Drosophila melanogaster: one gene and its partners. The protein of the gene in region 1 interacts with the protein of each later gene in a pairwise test. Each region holds a gene or a part of one and is shown in the gene's direction. Other genes may lie near its edges.

Region 1 (7,661 bases):
TCCAGAGAAAAGCCACCAATGGTGCAAGTACCATTTCGTATGAGCAGCACTGAAGAATTGGGCATTTCCCAGCCAAAACAATTGTGAGTGTTCTTCTTTTCCGACAATTATGATCTCTTACTTTTAATCCAAACATATTTCAGGAGGAAATTTGGTCTAAACTTCACCAGACTCAATACCAATCAATTTCAAATGGCACCAGCGACTACAAGACACGTTCGACTACAAACCCAGAAAACAAAAAGGACGAAGAATCGAAACTGCAATTCTTCTGTTGGCCAAATGAACGGTGTATTTGTTCTAGCTTCTTCGCCATCTACTAGAACGAATACAGCAGAGCAATCTATTGAAAGGAGAAATAGGAATCTGCAGAATCATCCAGGCGTTTCTGATTCTTTGAGTAACAATCCACCATCCTCAGAAAATAGACGAAAAGCCCCATCCCAAACATCTTACCCAGTACTTAGACGTATTCAAAGAAATGATTCAAACAATTCGCAAGGCGGAAGATTCATTTCGGCCAGCAGCCAATATCCTGACCAGCACAGACAAGATGAATACCTAGCTTGTGATAGAAATAATAGTGACCAAAGCCATCGCGATAGTCATCAAAACGAGGACGGGTCGCATAATTCAGCTATGGTTGGAGCTTCTGGGTATTCTACTGACTTAACTTGGACAGATCCACCTCCGAACTCCCAATTACTAGCTCCCAATACATCGACTGACGTGGAAACACTGGAAACGGTAACCCTAATGCAACCTCGAAAACTTCGTAGTTGTGAAAGTGCTGGGATCAGAAACCAGGCAAATATCAATGGGAACACCGTTCTTATAGAGACAAGAACTCCCTGTAACAGGGAAATTCTACTCCAGACCTGTGGACGACCGCCCTGTAACTCGTGTCCTTATCAATACACGGGTCTTCCTCCGAGTCTCCATCAAGGATTTACGAAGCCACCGGATCATATGCTACAACCGCAGATCTCTGTGAGTGCTCCACAAAATGTCACTCCTTTCGATGAAGGGTACCTTATAGATCCGCGGGATCAGTGGATGCCCACTAAGTCACCAGCTTCAGCACCAGCCGTGCAGCATCAATTTCAAATGAAGGAACAATGTCAGCCGGATCATGGATCCTATCATCATTTTCAGGAATCTGTACATACTTCAGACCCAAGTTCCTCTCAGGCCAGAAACCCTGACTACAATCCTCAACTAAAAGAGAACATTCGAATGCTTCCAGATGGATTCTATGAACGCACCGTGAATAAGTATAATATAACACGCATGGATTCCAACTTCCAGCCACCGGAATTTTCACTGCAGCCAAATTTTGTTCACGGAGAACAGCATCCTACTTTCAGACACCACGCTTGTCCTTATAGCAATCAATATCATCATCCGCAACTGATGATGACATCCGTTCCAGATCCCAATCGACGTTACATTCCACCACAAAACCAATACCCAGCCGAGATGTTTTGGCCACAGCAAAATGTACATTTGGATTACTATGATCAATCGGAATACCAAATTTAATCCAAACAGTTGGAAGAATACATTAAATTAAAATTACTTTAAAAACAAATTAAAATTGTCGTTCTTTTATTTAAAGTAAAAATATGGTAGCAGATCTATAAATATCGAACAAAATCTATCTTTTTAGAAAATCAGTACACAAAAATTTCAAAAACACATTCTAAAGCTTTTTTTTAAACCATCGTATAAAATCAAATTAAATTAAATTTTTAACTTAACTGAAGTTTTATTGAAAGCGTTCGATGTTATAATTTAAATATTGGTTCATTTAAGTGTATTTCAATTCAAATATCCTTCGATTTAATGGAAAAAAATAAAAATTTGCAAAACATTTTTTTTCGCGCTCAAAATGGTGATGCAAGAAGTTGATGACTATCGAAACGAATCGATAGGGTAAAGCCCGCATATCGGAACACCGCCCAGCTCTATTAACTTTTATCGATAAAGGAAAACAACATTTGTTTATATGACTAATTTACTCTTACACTCATTGTTTCATACACGCACACGATCGGAATCCGAATGAATACGAACGCGACCAATACGAAAACAATGGCCAACATTGTTGATAAGATAAGATAACTCCCGTTTCCAATGTCTTTGCTGTCTTTGCTCTAATGCACATATATCGCGCTGCGAATGATTCGAATTTGTTCAGCAAGTACGCCAAGAATTGTCAGTAAACAATGGCAACTCACGCCGAAAAGGAGTTCTACCACCTGGTACGTAAGCCCAAAGGAAAGCCAAGAAAACCGCCAAGAATACCCACAGCAGATTATAGGCACACGGATGTTGTCATATCATGTGCATAGTGTAAATACCTAAATGTTTATGCACACAACTACAGGCGCGCCGCTCAAATATGCATAAACATTTCACTTAAGAAGTCAGCCTTGAACCAGATTATATGGAACAGCTCGAAATATCATCAGCTTTTCACACGACTTGCAACACCACAGAGACTACACTACATGCTAATCCCAAGTTTCTCCGCTTCGGATGACCCAGAAAATTAGAAACTGCAATGAATGCTATGCGGACTACATCCACTTTGATCAATTGTTCAATGTGCACACAAAGGCCTTTCAAATTTTTTGATTATCAACCCAAATTCGGCACGATAAGAAGTGAAATCCAGTATTTAGATTACCTTCTGTTATCATAAATTCATATCAAACACATGGTGTAGGTGTTTGGAATCTTATTTTTAAAAGCATCGAAATGTTTGCACTTCCAAACTAAATAGTCGATCAGTGAGTCACCCCCTTTAGATCGAATTCCACTAAAAAGTATAAAACTATAGATATCGTCCGCCAAAATCCGTCCATATCTTATAAGCTGAGTCAGTCACTTCTTCGAAAGTGTACAACAATAAAAAGCCATTTAAACTATAATATTTACATTTCATTTCAGAACGTCAGCGTGTCCAAAGCTTTAAATGGCCTGGAAGCGCCACTCAAAACCAAACATGCCCGCTCCATTATTATTATGATACACAAGGCCAAAGAGGCCAAAACATTCTGGATGATCATCTCCCGGCAGCCTTTGATGCAGAGTAGATTTACTGCCTGGAAGTTTTCGCATCTGCTGCACAAGGTCCTGCGAGAGGGTCATGAAAGTGCCATCCGCCACTCGCAGAGCCACAAGAAGATGATACTGGAGGTGGGAAAAATGTGGGGCCTGCTGCAGGACGATATTGGATGCTGCATACAGGCGTATAGTAAGCTCTTGGCCACAAAATTAAACTTCCACGACAAAAATCGAATGTTTCCCGGCACCCTGAACATTTCGTTCACGGAACTCTTCATTGCTGTGGATAGGGATTTAAATTATTGGTAAGTAAAAATAGATATATATTACTTTCAAACTACTGAGACAGAACCATTGATTCCAGTTTTCAACTGTGCGTGGAAATTTTCGACTACTTGGAGGATATAATTGCGCTGCAATTGACGATATTTTCATCTATGGAAAAGTACAGAATGTCGTCGATGACACCGCAGGGACAATGTAGATTAGCGCCAATAGTTTGCCTTATCCAGGATTCCAATGCGTTGTACGATTTAAGCGTTCGGTTAATGTTTAAACTACACGATGGTGTACCATACGACGTTGTTTCCGGACACAGAGATCGCTTTCACGGTCTGTTTTTAAAGTTGAAGAGTTTTTACAACAACGTGCGACCGCTTCAGTATTTCAAGGACCTAATAACAATCCCGGAATTGCCGGACTCAAGTCCTAACTTCAAGTCCCAAAACGATTTCACCAGTTATGTACCGCCAGTGGTTCACGTTCCCCAGGAGCCCGATCCGGTTGTTGAAGACCTTGTGGATACCAACAATCACGAGCTGGAAGCCTTCAGTCAAGCCCAGCAGCAGCTTAGCATGTTGGAGGGTATAATCAGCGAGAAAGAGGCTAGCATTGAGGAGCTGTCATTCAAATTGGACGCAATGCAAAAAAATTTCGACGCACTGCAGCAAAGCTACAGACACGACGTTCAGGAGTTGCAACAGAACAATACTGTGCTGTCAAATGATCTGGTCTTGGCGAGAGAAATGTGTGCCACCTTTCGGATGCAAAATGACGATCTTGAGATGCAACTGAATCAGAACCCAATTCTTTTACGTAATTAAATGCTTATTAAACATAATGAAGTCATATAAAAATACCTTGTATTTCAGAAAAAGCTATGGAGGAAGAAGAAAAGCACAAGTTGTCGTCGGAAAAGTTTAATAAACTTAAAACTCTATACACAAAGATTCGAGATGAGCACATTCAGCTGCTGAGAGAGGTATGCAGAAACACAATATTTTCTATTTCCTATACTAATATTCATTCATATACTTTTATATCAGCAAAGTGATTGCAACAAGTCCTTAAATAAAGAGAAACAAGTAAACTCACAACTATTGTTGGAAACTAAGGAGCTTACCAATGAAATTTCCAAAATTAAAGTAAACGTAGAGGAAAAAGAGAAAACAAACTTGATTCTGCAAAAGCAAATCGAAGAGCACAAGGAGAAAATAGCACATCTTGAAGCAGTCAAAAACGAGATGAAGGAGAAATTCGATGATGTGGTTAAACAAAAGGAAATTCAGGAACTCGATATTATTTCCACTTCCGAAAACCTGAGGCTAAATTGCCTCAAAGTCGAAGAGCTTAATGGAAACCTCAATGACACCCTGGAAAAACTGTCGAACGCCGAAAGCCAAATAAATGCAAAGACCGAGGATATCGAGAAAATGCTAAAAGCTTTTGAAGCGGAAAAGGCATTGCTCTTAACTCAGATTGAACAACAGAGTGTTGAAAGTAAAAGCCATAGTGAAGCTCAAAACGCTCAATTGCAAGAAATAATGGATAACTTGGAACAAAAGGATAAAGAGTTCAATGAAGTTAAGCTTCAGCTGTCCAGCGCAGAAAGCCAAATCAGCTTAAAGGCATTGGAAATTCAAAACAATTTAAAGGCATTTGAAGCGGAAAAATCAGTGCTATTAACTAAAATAGAGCAGTTAGGTATAGAGCATAAAAACAACAGCGAAGCACAAAATGCTCAATTGCAGCTAACTTTAAACAACTTGGAGCAAAATGAGAGTGCATTACAGGTAAATGAAACCAATTTAAATCAAGAAAATTATAGAAACTGCTTTTCTTTCTTCAGCAAACCCAGGAAATTGTGAATCAATTGAGGCAGGAAAATGCTTCAGCGGGTCAGCGTAACGAGGATTTGCAAAGCAAACTCTCGCTTACTGAGGTAAAACTAACCCAAGCAACACAGCAAATTGATGCCGTGACAAGTTCGTACCAAATCTGTAGTACCGATTTGAGTGAACTCAGAAAATTGGTGATCAAGACTGTAAAGGAAATATGCAATTCGAAGTTGAGCGGATCGGAACAACAGCCTTTGGATGCGGTGCCAAACATAATACGCGAAATGGAGACCATTTTAAATAAGTTCAATAACGCATCGGCTATAAACTATGTTGCTTCAACCGAAGGACTGCAAAATGTTATGTATCTGGGTTATGTATTTATAAAACTATACGATCAATGTGATGTTATCTACAAAACAACAACTGCAATTGAGACAGGTCAGGGTAAGTTGATAACACTAAAAACATAACCACCTACAGCAAACTAACTTTGTATTACTTATTTTGCAGAAATTTTCTCAAAAACAAATTTGTTATGTACCGATATCTGTCAATTGTTCCAATACTTATTAAATAATGAAACAAAAGAACCCGAGAGACAGAAAACAATCACTGATATACAAACAAAGCTGAGAGATATTGAAAAGCTGATTGAGAAAATAAAGGCATCATTTGAACAGAAGATTGATTTAGATAAGCTGCTCGAAATCGAGCTTCGCGAGATGGACGCTGCGATTGATGATGCAGCCTCCAAAATTACAGATCTACTGGCAAAGGCTCGAGAGAAGGACAACCAAACCAATTTAGAGGTAAACGGAAAAATAGTGGATGCGTGTACCACCTTGATGGAATGTGTCAAAGCTCTAATCCAAAAATCTCGTCTCCTGCAACACGAAATCGTGGCTTCCCAAAAAGGTAGCTAACAATATTTTTTAATTCAATGAAGTTACTGACAAGTAATTACTCTTTCAGGAAATGCGAGTGCTAATGAGTTTTATAGGCGGAACAGTCAGTGGTCAGATGGTTTGATATCCGCCTCGAAAAGTGTGGCGAAGGCAGCCAACTATCTGGTGGAAGCTGCAAACAAGGCTATTGAAAGTGAATCTGGCAAGAACTTTGAACTCATTGTGGCTGCCCAAGAAATTGCTGCCTGCACGACCCAAATGGTTATTGCGAGCAAAGTCAAGGCTGAACGTAATAGTCAAAAGCTAACCGACCTCACAAAAGCCTCGCGAAGCGTAACGCAGGCAACAGGAACTCTGGTCGCCACCGTGAAGGATTGCAACTCCCAGCTGGAGCAGCAGAGTGAAATAGAACTTTCTAAGCTAACGCCATCACAGATTAAAACGATGGAAATGGAAATTCATGTTAAAGTACTCGAAATCGAACAAGCTCTCCAAATGCAACGACTAAAACTCTCATCGTTTCGTAAGGAGCATTACAAGAATGCCGATTATTAAATACCATATTTATTAATGTTACTAACTTTACAAACATTCTTTTTTGTATTAATGCCCGTCATGACAAATAATATATCTACACAATATTTACACTGCGGTCATTTTATCCTACAATGAATCCGTAATATCTGTTTATAGTATTCCGTGTCGATCGCTTTTTGATCCTTGATTTATATCACACCATAGTATGTGGGTTCATTATTTCTTAAATGTTTATTTTACTTACTACTTGAAATTAAAATAGCACTTATTGCCAAAGAAAATAAAATGTAACATTTGTTGTCAAAAGGTTTTTGTTTATTATCACGAACCGACCTATTGCATTTTATAAAACGGCATGTTCACGTTCATCAAAGACACTTTTAGCGTAGTTTATCTAAAAGAAAAAGACAAGTATGGAATATATGTGATAATCATTTCAAAATTTGTAAAAGTAAATAAATTATATGATAAACAAAGTCTGCGCTTCAACAATAATAGTTTATTATTGAAAGATAATTTCTACTAATTTCTGCTAAGATGATTTCTACTTACGCATCTTGATGCTGCCTCAGCACATTCCTCGGAACGACACCGTATCCTGGGCCTGGTAATCTTTGGAAGATTGGTTGATATCTCGATGTAGTGACTGGCCGACGCCCTGCTGCTCGTGGTTGGCGTTGTGCCGGCATTCGTTACCACTGGATGGCACGAAAGAATCTCACTAACATGACATTCAAACATAATGGTTGGATTGGCGTCGCTTAGTGAAAAGATTCGTACGTATTCTGTAGAAACCAGCAAGCGCAATCTAGCCTCCTTGTCGCTCCATAGATTGGGTTCATATGAAATTATCTTCTCCGAAAAGTTCTTTTGATTGATTAGGTACAGATATTGCTGCCCCTTGCTTTGGCGATTGGAATACAATGGCAAAAGACCACCAGGAGCACCAGTCACACATCTGGGTAGCCTTTTCCTTTCCGGAGCGTTTCTGTGACTATCTCGGCTTGTTTCACGAACGGCACTGGCA
Region 2 (4,012 bases), on another chromosome or scaffold:
CAGAAGGACAACTGAATGGGGCATTTTGGCATTGTGTCTATCTTTTGGGACTCCAGCCTCTGGCGTGCTCGCTCCACAATTGAAGAAAACGAATACTCTTGGCAGGCATCAGATGGCCAGGTGGTAGTGCTTAGCTGGAACCTGCGATACTTGTCGCGCATCGAGGGTATATCCCGAAATCTGGCCATCGAGCCCATGTCAACAGTTTGGAGCGGTTCGGGCAGGAAATACTCGGGCAATATTTTGACTTTGCTGAAGCATTTGCTAGTTGGATTGCGAGCAATGTACTGCGGTGACCTGAAAAGATATGGGATTAATCATGGAGAATTTAAGGTGATCCGTATAGTCAAGACTCACCCTTTTATATCATCGCAGTTGATGACAATGCGCTGCAGTGCTCGTGATTTGTAGAACACCAATCCTCGGCCGCTTTCGCCCCTTTCGTAGATCTGACACGTGACCCCATACAACTTGTGTGGGTTGTCCTCCGGCGGCTGCAAACGCGGGAAGCTTACACCGAAGATCAGACCGTCCAGACCGGGCATATCCTCGTCAAACATTCGGCCGTCGATCATGAAGGGAAGCACCTCGCCGGGAAAGAGGATGTGCTGGTGCAAGAAGATGAGCATGTGATGGACGCTGCCCACCTCCAAGTAGTCCACTCCGGGCACGCGACTCAAATGATTACCGAAGTATGAATGCTCCGCTGGCAGATTGGTGTCAAAGCCAATGTCGATTGGTGGTCGAGGTGGCTGCTGTGGCGGTGGATCAACGGGCTGCTCGGCAGCCTCCTGGCTCGTTTCCTCGCTTGTGCGACTGCGCCGTCGCTCCTGGCTAAAGACCATGCTACGCACTCGCTGTAGGAAGTTGTCCCCACTGAGCAGTGCAGCGATTCCACCATCCCGATTGCGGGCTTGCGAGACCATCATGTCTACGGCGGAGCGCAGTCGGTTCTGCGGAATCATCCAATGGGGCAGGCTCTCCAGATCGGAATCATCTGGAAAGGATGGAAAACGCGGGTTAAGTAGGAATGTGCAGCACAACGATTGTAAGCCAACTAACCTTCACTTCCTGGACTTTCCAGAGACATGTCACTGCTGGGATGACTGCCCTCGCTTGCTGTGTCGTCCTGCAAAACGTTCTCTACCATGGCCTCAAGTGCATCCCCTCCCTCACCATCGGTGGCCAGTGGATCTTGGAAGGCATCTTCTGCCGGCGGTGACGGCTCGTCTGGCATTGCATTGTTCCAAGCCTGTTCTATCACGTCTACCTGCCGATCCTGGAGCCCCTGTGACTGTTGGTCCTCCAATTGCACATCTTCATCCCGTGCTTGCACAGAATTGATTTCTGCGCAGTTTCATATGATGAACATATGTTATTGGGAACATTTGGCGAGTGCTATGATGCTGCCACACCCACCTGAGTTCTCCTCTTCGTCCATTTGAGCCGTACAGTGTCTTTTGTTGCTTCGTTTTGCAGGTGAATTTTATATATATTTATTTGGTTTTTATTTTGACAAAGGAAAATAAGAGATGGGAGCTTTTCGATAGTTAGCGATTGGCTAACCAGTGCTAACCAATAATGGCAACATTTTGAAAATGTTCGGTAGTTGGGCGCCAAAATAGACTCGTAATGCTTATCGTTCTATATAACAAATTATTCGATTTTCAATTTTAATTTCTGATACACTTAGTAATTTGGTAGTCCACAACTCATAGGAAGACAATATAACTAAGCATTACTTAACAAGGAGTTCTTAATCCAATATTTCAAAAGCAAACGTAAGTGTGCAGATATTTTTTTTAAGTTTTTCCCTTTTCTCTTGGCTTAAATTTATATGATCAGAAAGTTATTTTTTTCAACTCATCGATAGAAACAGCTGAGCATTGATTGAGTATTGAGCATCACTAGCAAGAGCGGATGTAATCGGGAGAGCAATATCAATTGGAACTGGCCCTTATTGGACTATGTTTTAATTTCACTTTGTTCTGCTTTTCTGGTTATTCGCACTAAACTTCCAATTGGAATATTGGAATATTTCCGAGAAAACGTAAAACAATAACATAACTGGACCCAACTAAGATCGTTATCGTTATCGAAGATCTTCGTTTCCCATTGATTAAGATTAAGTCAAGATTGGCCAGCCTCATACTTGTTTGAATTGCCGTGAGTATCACATGAACAAGTGATTATACGGACAATGATCAATCCCCAACTTTTGCTGATCGCCGCGCTTATTGCGTTTATTGGGAAAGTGGCACACGCTCAAATCGCCTTTGTTGAGGATCAAGACATTGATAAGAAGAAGGCCAACCTTGCGGTAAGCTGCAGCCAGACACAATCCACATTTGTGATAAGAAACGCCAAAATGGAAGAGAAAACCCAGCCGGAACTGGGCAACATCTTTCGCCGAATACCCTTCCCAATCAGAAGTGAAAGTCGTTGGAGTCCAATTAGGAATTTTGTGTAGTGACCAATGTTCAAAAACATTTCATGATTGCTTTGATTTTAAAACTAGCTTAAGGTTCTAGTTAAATAATTATAATAACAGACTTTTAATTGTATGGATACTGTTGAACGTGATTGAAAAATTTTTTTTTTTGTTAAAAATAAGAAATACATTTATTTTATCACTGTGGTGACTTTGAGAGTTTCAAACCTTTAAACTTCTAAAGTGTGTGTTTGAAGTGAATTTCAAAATACGGGGACTGTTTTGGTAGTGTATGCAAGCCCCATTGGCAATAATCAATCGAATTCCTGCCTCACACCCCTCCGCTTTCTCCTCATCAACAGGGTCGCAAGCCACTGTATTCGCCAGCCCGATGCCCCAAGCACCAGCTTCTTTATCCGGGGGACCAGCAGAAGCAGAACGACTGGGTTTGCGACTGCGCGCCAGGTGAGCGGTCATAATGGAGCTACCATGGCGATGACATAATAATCTCCGTATGGGTACTTCCCCTTCGATAGCCACACTGTATTACCCGGAGACCGATGGCTGCTATCCGGCCTACCGACAGGGACCCTGTGAGGCTGGACAGATTCTGGTGCTCTACAAGGAGGAGATCATCCCGAAGTGCGTACGAAATCCATGTAACAGGGACGGACACTTTATGATTCGCGACACATGCTATGAGTTCGGAAACACCAAGAAGGAAGAAAACCCGTGTCCTTACCAGGAGGCTTCCTTTGTACTTGGCGTGAATCCCACCAACTTGATGGTGGACTGTGTGAAGCTGTCCGTTCAACTGGAGACGCGTATTTCGGACACGGAGCAGGCTCCGCCGGAATACTACGTTGATTTGGCCGAGAAATGCGCACGCGGCAGTCGCCTAATGGCTCAGGGAAAGTGTCCTTAAAGGATTTTAACATTATGTGCTTAAATGTATTGTGTTCTGTTTGGTAATGTGTGGAGGCCAGTGAAGAATAGCGAATTTGTTCCATGTTTAAGACAGATATAATATGATTACATACCATTTCTCAAAATGAAGGCAATTCTTTATTTTTCTTGCACAAGCAAAACGCTATTATGTACAACTAAGAACTGGCTTTCCTGCGCCTCTTGACGGGAGTGGTGGCGGGTACAGGGCTTTCTTCTTCGATAATTTCATCTGCTTCGGCATCATCCTCTTCTGGCAACGTGACGCCATCCTCTAGGTTTGGTTCGTCATTGGCAGTCTCCAGCTTGAGCAGCGCATTTTCCAGCGAGGCGAGGAAAGAGCTCTCGCCGTACTCCGGCCACTGACGAAACTGACTAAATAGCGTCAGAATCTGACTGGGCAGGAGATCTCCGAACTGTGTGTAGATGTTGATGCCGGGATAGTAGTTTCTGGTGCTCATTGTAGTACTCTGGCACGAGTACTGTGGTAGTTTCTTGGGCAATTCATCTGGATAGATGGGTGTTACGGACTCGGAGGACTTCGGATTAATGATAAGCCGAGGTCCACAGCCGGGAACCCACTTTCTACACAAATAATAATTGAATTTATAAAAATAACCCCAGATGATTTGATTG
Region 3 (4,833 bases), on another chromosome or scaffold:
TAAAAATAGATTTTAAACTATGTTTTAGAATAATTTTTGATTAGATAATGTAAACATTTCCAGCTGATCAGCCATTTGTCTTGTCGACCTCTTGAAAAATTGAGAGTAGAGCAGGACCACAATTTACTGATGGAATTTTTACACAAGTTATTTATTTTGTTTCTATTGCTGGCCGCTTCATTCATGACGACTTCATTTACTTGACGAATGTGCCCGTGCAGGACGAAGGATCCACGCTGCTGGCTTTATTAATATTTATAAGTTGGACTCTCTAGCAGGAGCTTAGCCAAAGCCGCAATAATTCCCCCGACCACGCAATCAAAATCAACCCTCTTGGAAATTCCGATGGCTGGCTGGAGACAGCCACTTGGTTCGCTTAACATTTTCAATTTCAATCTAATCTAAATTACATGATATGCGCACAATTTGAACGCTAATGAGCAAGGAATTTGTGGTAAGATGGTGGCGGAGCAACGCTGCGTATGCGCAACATATTGCGTGTGAATTTTAATTAAAAACTTTTCTCACTTTCCAACCGAGATAATCTCTGTCCCACCGCCTTTTCCTCGAAATCTCCCACTGCGAATCGGATGTCCTTTCGTGTTGGCTGCTGTTGTTGCTGTTGCTTCGATTGCATCGATTTTCTGCTAACTTTGAACGGTATTTGAAAGGAGCTTAAGCTTGTTTCTTTTATTTGCGCTACCTTCGCGCGAAACCCGATTCCATGGGCAGCAAACAGGACCAGGTTGGCTAACAAATTCTTGGAGCTATTCAGCGGTTAGCGGTTGGGGTAAACAACTTCTATAATCACTGTAATGCGATCAAGCATAAAGATGGCTCTAGCTGACCGTTTATTTAGATGGGTAAACGGGTAATCCTATTTTTAGCCATGTTTATTAGACGAGAACAGCTTCTTTCACTAATGCGATTTAAAGAAAGCCTAATTTTTTAAAATAACTATACTTAATTAGTTGCAATCTCTTTCACATTTACATCACCCCTGCTAAGTAGAGGGTATGTGGTAGTCGAAGAACTCGTCTATAGCGCCCTCCCTGATTGTTGTAAAGTTGTAATAATAGTAATAAGTTAAAATATGTTGGTAGAGGATTTCAATGAGGTATTTTATTTCAATAAAATTCCGCTTAGAACATTCACCATTCGTTGCATTCCGTTCGCCCTCTAACCTGTTAACTTGGTTTTAATTTACACTTAATTACGTGCATTGCCGTGGCAAAAGTGCAACAGATTGCTTCGTGGATTGCTTCATTAATTGTCCTCTGTTGTGGCAACTACCATCCTGCCGCATCTCCCCTCTAATAACACATTACCAAGCTGCTGGTCCTGCTATTTAATGGCCTCACATGTGTCGGGAGATAGGGACAAAAATTAACCTTTGACCTGAATGTGTACGGTATCGCGTCACTTGGCTGTGCAAACAAATTGTTTCACGTCAAAAAGTTCCATTATTCGATTATGAGCCGGTCGAATAATACATTAGTAATGCAATTAATTAGTATATAAAGAATTCCGTATTCACACCGCCATCGGCACCAAATGATTAACTTCCATGGCAATTGTTTTGCTTAGGGCCCAACCACTTGCTTGATTCCCTTCCCATAACTGCTCTTTTCTGGCCAAGAGCACCTGCCCGCTCTTTGGAATTCCCAGTTGCTTTCTCTTCGTTTGCCCACGCAGCCGCATCAAGCTATTCCGAAAATAAAGCAGCCGACTTGTGGACGTTGCGTATACGCAGTGTTGTCGCCGCCGTTCGTTTGGAACCACTGTTCAGTCGCTAGCTGGACGTGATGTTGGCCGGAAGAGCAGCACGGCAAACAAATAAAGACTTAGCCAAAACAGCTGAACAATAGCTGAGCTGAACTGAACTCCAGGCCGTAACAAGTGTGGCAGTAGTTAGGTGTTCGTGCCGCTGAAACAACAAGTATCCAGCACAGTACTTTCTATTTCGGTTAGTCGGTCGGTCGGTTGGTCGTTTGGTCGGTTTGTCCGAGTGTGTGCGTGTTGGCCACCTAAGTCCTGGTGCGTGCGTGTGTGTGCGCGCTAACTGTGTTTTTGGATGCAAATCAAAGCGCAGCTCACCTGAAAAGTATGCTTTAAATTTTTACTATCGCCACTCCGCGTGTGTACTTGTAACTCTGAAAAGTTTCTGTTTCTGTGTTTATTTGACTACCGCGGCGCATTTACATAAGTAAACTTTGGCATGCGCGCGGCCTGCTGCCGCTGATGTAGATGTAACGACGTCGACGTTGGCACTGAATAATTAATGCAATCAAGCAATTTGAACCCGTTCCGCCGTGGAGTGTGCCTGGGCCAGTGCCACAACGGTTTCAACGTGACCATAATGAGAGCTCCCCAAGCTACAAGTCACTAAGTGTGCCCGAAAAGCCCAATAACACAAAGAGATAACCTGACCAAAATTCGCAACAAAAAAAAAAAAAAAATACAACACACAAGAAGCCTGAGGAACAAGGAGGGAATACACTATATTTTTCGACAGAACTATAGCTATACTATACCATATTAACAAGAGAGAGTCTACTATATATGTACTTACTTAGTGCTAACTGACCACGCATATTCCAATCATAAATTATCGTGATAAAAATTCTTAGGCGCTGAAAGCCAATTTCAATTTTCACCCAAAAACGATAGAAGAAGAAAAGCCCCTGAAAGAGAAGAGAGAGAGAGAGAGGGATATACGCTGTCTGCAGACCAACAAATTACTAATAATAATTTTTAGATTTAAACGACAACAAAAACGAGACTAACAAACATCTGCTGGCCACACAAGGAACGTATACAAATAAATGCGGGTATATAGCAAAATGTAGACAGCTTGGCAAATATATTTCGATTAAAATATATACCAAATTGAACTGGACAGAGCTTTGACACGAAAACCAAATCGTTTGCCAAGTGAATTTTATGAAATTCGCCTGATTATTGCGGCAACAATAGAGATAAGATTCGGAATCAGAGGAAAAGCGTTTAAGTGAATGGGAAAAAGCAGCCAACAGGTTGTCGACGACAGATAAGGCCAACATTTTCTCGAAATTGGTAAGTTGAAATCACAGCAGTGTAGAACGAATGAAAAATAATGAATGTGGCACTTCATTTCTACCACTTGGAAGGATAGTCTGATTTAGAAGTTTATTAAATGGTATGCTAAGTTTTGTCAATGATTTTATTTTGCTAAGAGCTTTGCCATCAACTAATAAAGGAGATTAAGCTTTGAAAACTTGATTGAAAATGAATTTGGGTTTCTGTGGAAGCTTAAGTTTTGCCAAAGTGAAAGAAACTACTGCAAGTTTTGAATAAACTAAATAATTTCTTTAGCAAAGTTAAAGTTTGACAAAAATCATTACAAACTAAAATGGTCATTTGGCTACTTTTAAAGCAATTTTCTTAATTGCATATATTTCGTGTTGGCAGAGTGCATTTAAAATTCTTTTTAAGTTTACTCACCTCACAATTCCCAAATCTGTATCCATTAATTAAGTGCAACTACTTACAGCTGAGAAATGTGATTAAAAGAATGCTATGCAGTTAAGAAATTAAAGTGTCATTGGTGACTTTCTTCACTCCTGCAAGTTCGTCGCTTTTTGCAAAGGTCCTGCGCACGGCTGCCCAATTCCTCCATCCATTATCCACGTAATCCCACTCGTCACGAGATTCCATCCGTCAAATCCCATTCCCGCCCAGCAGCAACATGTAAATGCTCCTGTAGTTCCGGAACATATGTGTACGAAATGAAAAGATCCCAAGGAGTAAACTGTAAACTGTAAAAATACTGACCATGTCGCAAAGTGCCATAAACAATTTTACAACATTTTTGCTGTCATAAGATTAAATGTGCATAAGCTGGAGGAGGGGCAAGGACAAGAAGAGCGCACTCCTCCGCAGGAGGATGAAAAAAAAAATGGAAAGTGCTAGGGAAAAAAAGGAGAAAGCTGTAGGAAAAGCTGGGCAATAGAGCACTGCGATGGGCGAAAGCGAAACAAAAGCAATAACTATAAAACAAACACGACAATTCGCTTCAACTTTGGGGCTACAAAAAATGGCTGAACACACACAGACAGAGGCAAACCGACTTTATGTGAAGAAAGAAAACAACGCTGAAGAACAACGGAGACTCACAGATACGAATACACTGGGTGAAAACTGAATGATTTAAATTACACAATAAAAGTATTGATTTAAGAGTGCTGGGCTCCGGTACACTGCAAGATAGGTTAGACAATGTAAACTTTAAAATATTTAAGATTTGGAAACTCCTTGGGGTTTAAAGGAATATTATATGGAGAGTATTTATGTTTTTCTCTGTAATATGTCTTGCATCGCTTTGGATTTTCTCACTTGAAGGACCCCACTTCGATTCCAGCACTTTTACTCGCGGTGTACACATACACAAGCCCATGTGCATTCATTCTGAGCTCCTTTTTTATGGCCGCTGGCGGTGGGTGTTCGTTGGTATGGTTTTGTTGAGGGTCGACTGGGCTATAAAGGTATGCAGCAGGCAGCAGACGACAGCATCCAATTACAAAGTGAATATTTCGAGACTTGTTGGTTTGACTCCCGCCTTTACGCTCGGGCAGCATATCTCGGTTTCCTTCCATGTTGACCTTAACATTTATTTCATCTGCTCTCTTCTCGGCTTTGTGTGGCAGCCTTAAAGTGACTTTCAAGTTTTTGGTACCGCCGTTACTGTCGCTGACCTGATTCTGATTTCTTCTTTAGTTGCACGAAAACGAGACCACCGAAAACACCGGGTCCATTCCCAAATGAAAACATTTTACGGGGAAGCCCCCACGGAGA
Region 4 (3,516 bases), on another chromosome or scaffold:
GATCAAACATATCCTCGTATTCATTGTCCACAGATGTTGCGTTGACGCTCTTATTTTCACTCACGTTTCTATCCATTTGAAGGTCAGCGACCTCCTCAGGTTCTTCTGTTACTCGTGCCTCGTTTTCAAACGGTCGGATAAGAATCTTAGTGGCCTTTGATTTCACGTAGCATTGGTAGAGCAGCACTGTGGTTTCGGAATCATGGATACGAACGTATCGGTCTAGGCTTGCAGAGCTCAGAAAGCGACCGGTGGCATCTAAATGAAGGTCACTTATCCCGCCTGTGAATCCCTTGTACGTATGCACATGAGTTTTCATGCGTCGAGTGTCAAAGGCTTTTAGAGCACCCATTGTGGTACCCGTGTAAATAAAGTTTCCCTTTGCCACTAAAGTCGTAAAACTCATCCCGTGCTCCTCGCTGGCAAAACATGCAACAGGTCGACGCTGCTTACGCGTGTCATAGATGCGAACATAGCCGGTTCGCGAGCAAGTGGCCAGTACACTAGGCCCATCCACAAAGCCGATATCGCTGTCCCAAACCGGAACCTCTAGCTGCAGATAGTCGTTGGGCAAATTCTTCGAGGTGAAAATCTGCTTACCGTCGGCATTTAAATCGTAGACCTTTAGATTGTTTTGACGCTCTTTGCCGCCAGTTGCTACAATGCTTTTGACTTGGGCGCACTGGCGCAGGTGGTCCATTTGGTCACCCGTGGCGATAACCACGGGCTCGGACTCGTCGTTCGCCTCTAGCTCCAGGCTCTGTATCTCTCCGTTGCCAATGCCGGCAATAAGCTTGTCATTGTATCGGGCCAGACCAACAATTGGCGCAGCATTGAAGGATACTGTGTTCCTAGAATGTCCCTTTTCTGTGAAGGAGTGAATCTCCACGGCGTCCTTGGCCCGGCCTAGAAGGATCTCCGTCTGATCGTCGTTGCCAAAGGCCAGAGATGTGACGCGGGAATCCTTATCCAGGGCGCACAGATCACTCAGGTTGCTTTGTCCATAAGGGGTCTTCTCGGATGCAGGCACCAGGTCTAAAAAGTTGAAGTCATTATTATTATGCTGTTCGATAAAGAACAAGCGGACGTACGTTTAAAGGAGCCCGTGTGTGTTCCCACATACAGTTCGTGCTTCGCCGTGTAGTTTACATGTTTGGTATTTGCAGTAGTCCACTTCATCTCAAGACGCGGTTTCTCTCAATACTTGCGATTAAAACGTGAATTAATGGTATGCGGCTATACAAATTCGTGCGGTCAAAACAAATCCTACACGTGCAATAGAGATGTAAAAGACATATGCTTAATAATCGATGTTATCGTTTATATCGATATCTAACGGCCACCGATATTTTAATAACATTTAGGGTAGTCACTAGGCTTCAGTTTGCTGTTTACCAGTTTAAAACATTTTTTTCGTTGAAAACCACTTCTCTTGTGAGAATATAGTGATACGCATAAGACTTTATTTGATTATAACTTCTTTAAGTGCAGTTTTGTTGTCATTTTAAATGCAAGCAAATAGTATGCAAGCCACAGTGAGAATATTCCCGTGAAATTTGTAAAATTTATAGAAAATTTTAGCCCAATCGGATTTGTTTCTTGTTTTTTCGTGCGGTGGACTTAATTCTTGTTTTGCAGTGATACAAGCATGTTTTTTTGCGGGTATAAAGACCACAACGTTTTGAGAATTATTTCCAACTAAACTTTTTTTTAGAAAATTAAAGAGATATTTGAAAACAACATTTTATATGTAAATTTTATAAATTAAGTTTCAAGTGCATGTCTATACCCTATTCAGTACTGGGCAGCACATGTGCTCAGCTGTTCGTGTGTGTTCACCAACACTGTCATGTGAATTTAAAAACAAATAGCGCACATACGTAACTTAAAGCAGAAATGGCTCTCACCAAAGTTTATGATGCCGCCACAGTGTTTAAGCACATGAATGGCATTCTAAATGTGTACAAGCCATCCGGTATGAAGGTGAAACACGTGCGCAATGCTATTCTGAGCAACATTTGCAAGGGTAAGCCTAGCGCCATTTAAAGAACAAATTGAAATTAAAAACAGATCTGCAAAAGGACTCAACGAAATGGAGCAGAGGAAACCACGCAAGTTGCAAGAGAACATTAGCCTCCTGGGCACAGGCACTGCAGCAGATCACGTACTACATAACATAGGAGAGCAGACGGATCTATCCGACCACCTTCTGTCCACCGGACCGCGGTACCTTCCGCGAGACTTGATCTGCACCACAGTGTCCAGCCTGGGCGATCACACCAGCGGAGTCCTGCGTAAGTCATGTAAAACATTTTAAATCCAGATCTAACCATACTTTTGTAGTCTTTGGGATCAACAGGGGAGCAGGCCAGTCTAGTTCTATTCGGAAAAATCGACCAGTGCGGGTCTACCATCTAATCGGGCACCTAGGCATCGCAACCGAAAATAACCTACCAGACTCACGGGTCATAATGCGCTCCAATCACCGACACGTGTCCGCAGACAGGATCAGCAGTCTAGCCGCCTCCATGCAGGCATCCCATCAGCGTAAGATGTTTGAGCTCTGCGGTGTCGATTTGCAGACCCAGGAGGCCTATGAACTGGCCTGTAGGGGTCTCCTACGCCCAGCGGACGACAGTCAGCCCGTCGTCTACGGCATTAAGCTGATTCACTTCGATCGACCGCACTTCACCCTGGAACTGCACGCCATCAACGAGACGCAGGAGTACTTAGCTACGCTAGTGCACGATATGGCTTTGGACCTCCGAACCGTGGCGCACTGCTCCCAACTACGCTGCGTGCGGCATGCCCATTTTGATGTGACAGATAGTCTGCTCAGACACGCCTGGCACTTGCCAGGAATTATCAAGAACCTCCGTCAACAACGTGACATCCTGAGGGCGCATCCACAGCTTCTGCGACAACAGCGAGTGGAACTGCGAGCTACAGATTAATTTAGGAATTCATTGTAATTGAATATAGTCAAATAAATATAGGCAGATAAACTATAAAGCAGTCAATCAGGTCAATAATTCTGGTAATAATTTTTGATAAGAATATGCAGAATATCTGCTTATTTAAGTCAGCATAGTTTATTGACGGTTACAGTTCAAAATAGGTCATTTATAAAAAAAAAACGTAAGACTCTAGTTTAGTAAAAGTAAGATGTTTAAAACGTGATCTTATTAGAAGCGGTAGCCAAAAACCATACATTTCACAAATTTTTTTTGAATTAATTCTAAAAACAAGGGAGATTGCTATAGTTGATAACCTCGACCCATCGAAGGGTCAGTTGTTCCAAATTATGTAAACTAATTTCTTCGGTGCTCAATATCATTAAGAAGTGATTTTTTTCAGGAAATGTGTCATATACCAAACCTTGTGAATTTCAATGGTCACGCAGTTGGTAATTTAAAGAGAAATAGGTAAAATTTGAAAATAAGCTATATAATTATAGCTCTACAAAGACATTTAGGTTCAGTAGGAAATAGATATTTATAGCTGTTTTCCCGGTTA

What was found.
Region 2: the proteins of Hip1 (region 1) and CG12811 interact in a two-hybrid assay, tested with the Drosophila melanogaster proteins (one large-scale study listed by BioGRID).
Region 3: the proteins of Hip1 (region 1) and Stacl interact in a two-hybrid assay, tested with the Drosophila melanogaster proteins (one large-scale study listed by BioGRID).
Region 4: the proteins of Hip1 (region 1) and CG7849 interact in a two-hybrid assay, tested with the Drosophila melanogaster proteins (one large-scale study listed by BioGRID).

What each region holds. Positions count from the first base shown.
Region 1 is NT_037436.4:12,767,878-12,775,538, reverse strand, and holds Hip1 (huntingtin interacting protein 1), read left to right. Parts: upstream 1-1,965; 5' UTR 1,966-2,228; coding exon 2,229-2,264; intron 2,265-2,319; exon of another isoform or gene 2,320-2,795; intron 2,796-2,955; coding exon 2,956-3,377; intron 3,378-3,436; coding exon 3,437-4,167; intron 4,168-4,223; coding exon 4,224-4,333; intron 4,334-4,397; coding exon 4,398-5,144; intron 5,145-5,200; coding exon 5,201-5,636; intron 5,637-5,702; coding exon 5,703-6,107; intron 6,108-6,164; coding exon 6,165-6,652; 3' UTR 6,653-6,977; coding exon of another isoform or gene 6,978-7,028; 3' UTR 7,029-7,107; downstream 7,108-7,661. Other genes in the region: CG32106 (uncharacterized protein), read left to right, coding at 6-83, 144-1,542; Vps13D (vacuolar protein sorting 13D), read right to left, coding at 6,978-7,028, 7,187-7,661.
Region 2 is NT_033777.3:10,046,725-10,050,736, reverse strand, and holds CG12811 (uncharacterized protein), read left to right. Parts: upstream 1-1,939; 5' UTR 1,940-2,200; coding exon 2,201-2,320; intron 2,321-2,793; coding exon 2,794-2,896; intron 2,897-2,967; coding exon 2,968-3,356; 3' UTR 3,357-3,485; downstream 3,486-4,012. Other genes in the region: ohgt (ohgata), read right to left, coding at 1-297, 358-997, 1,063-1,347, 1,420-1,441; mtTFB2 (mitochondrial transcription factor B2), read right to left, coding at 3,535-3,961.
Region 3 is NT_033778.4:15,399,309-15,404,141, forward strand, and holds the start of Stacl (Stac-like), read left to right. Parts: upstream 1-1,787; 5' UTR 1,788-3,075; intron 3,076-4,833.
Region 4 is NT_033778.4:6,075,080-6,078,595, forward strand, and holds CG7849 (uncharacterized protein), read left to right. Parts: upstream 1-1,830; 5' UTR 1,831-1,896; coding exon 1,897-2,026; intron 2,027-2,081; coding exon 2,082-2,294; intron 2,295-2,343; coding exon 2,344-2,954; 3' UTR 2,955-3,009; downstream 3,010-3,516. Other genes in the region: l(2)k09848 (lethal (2) k09848), read right to left, coding at 1-1,035, 1,092-1,179.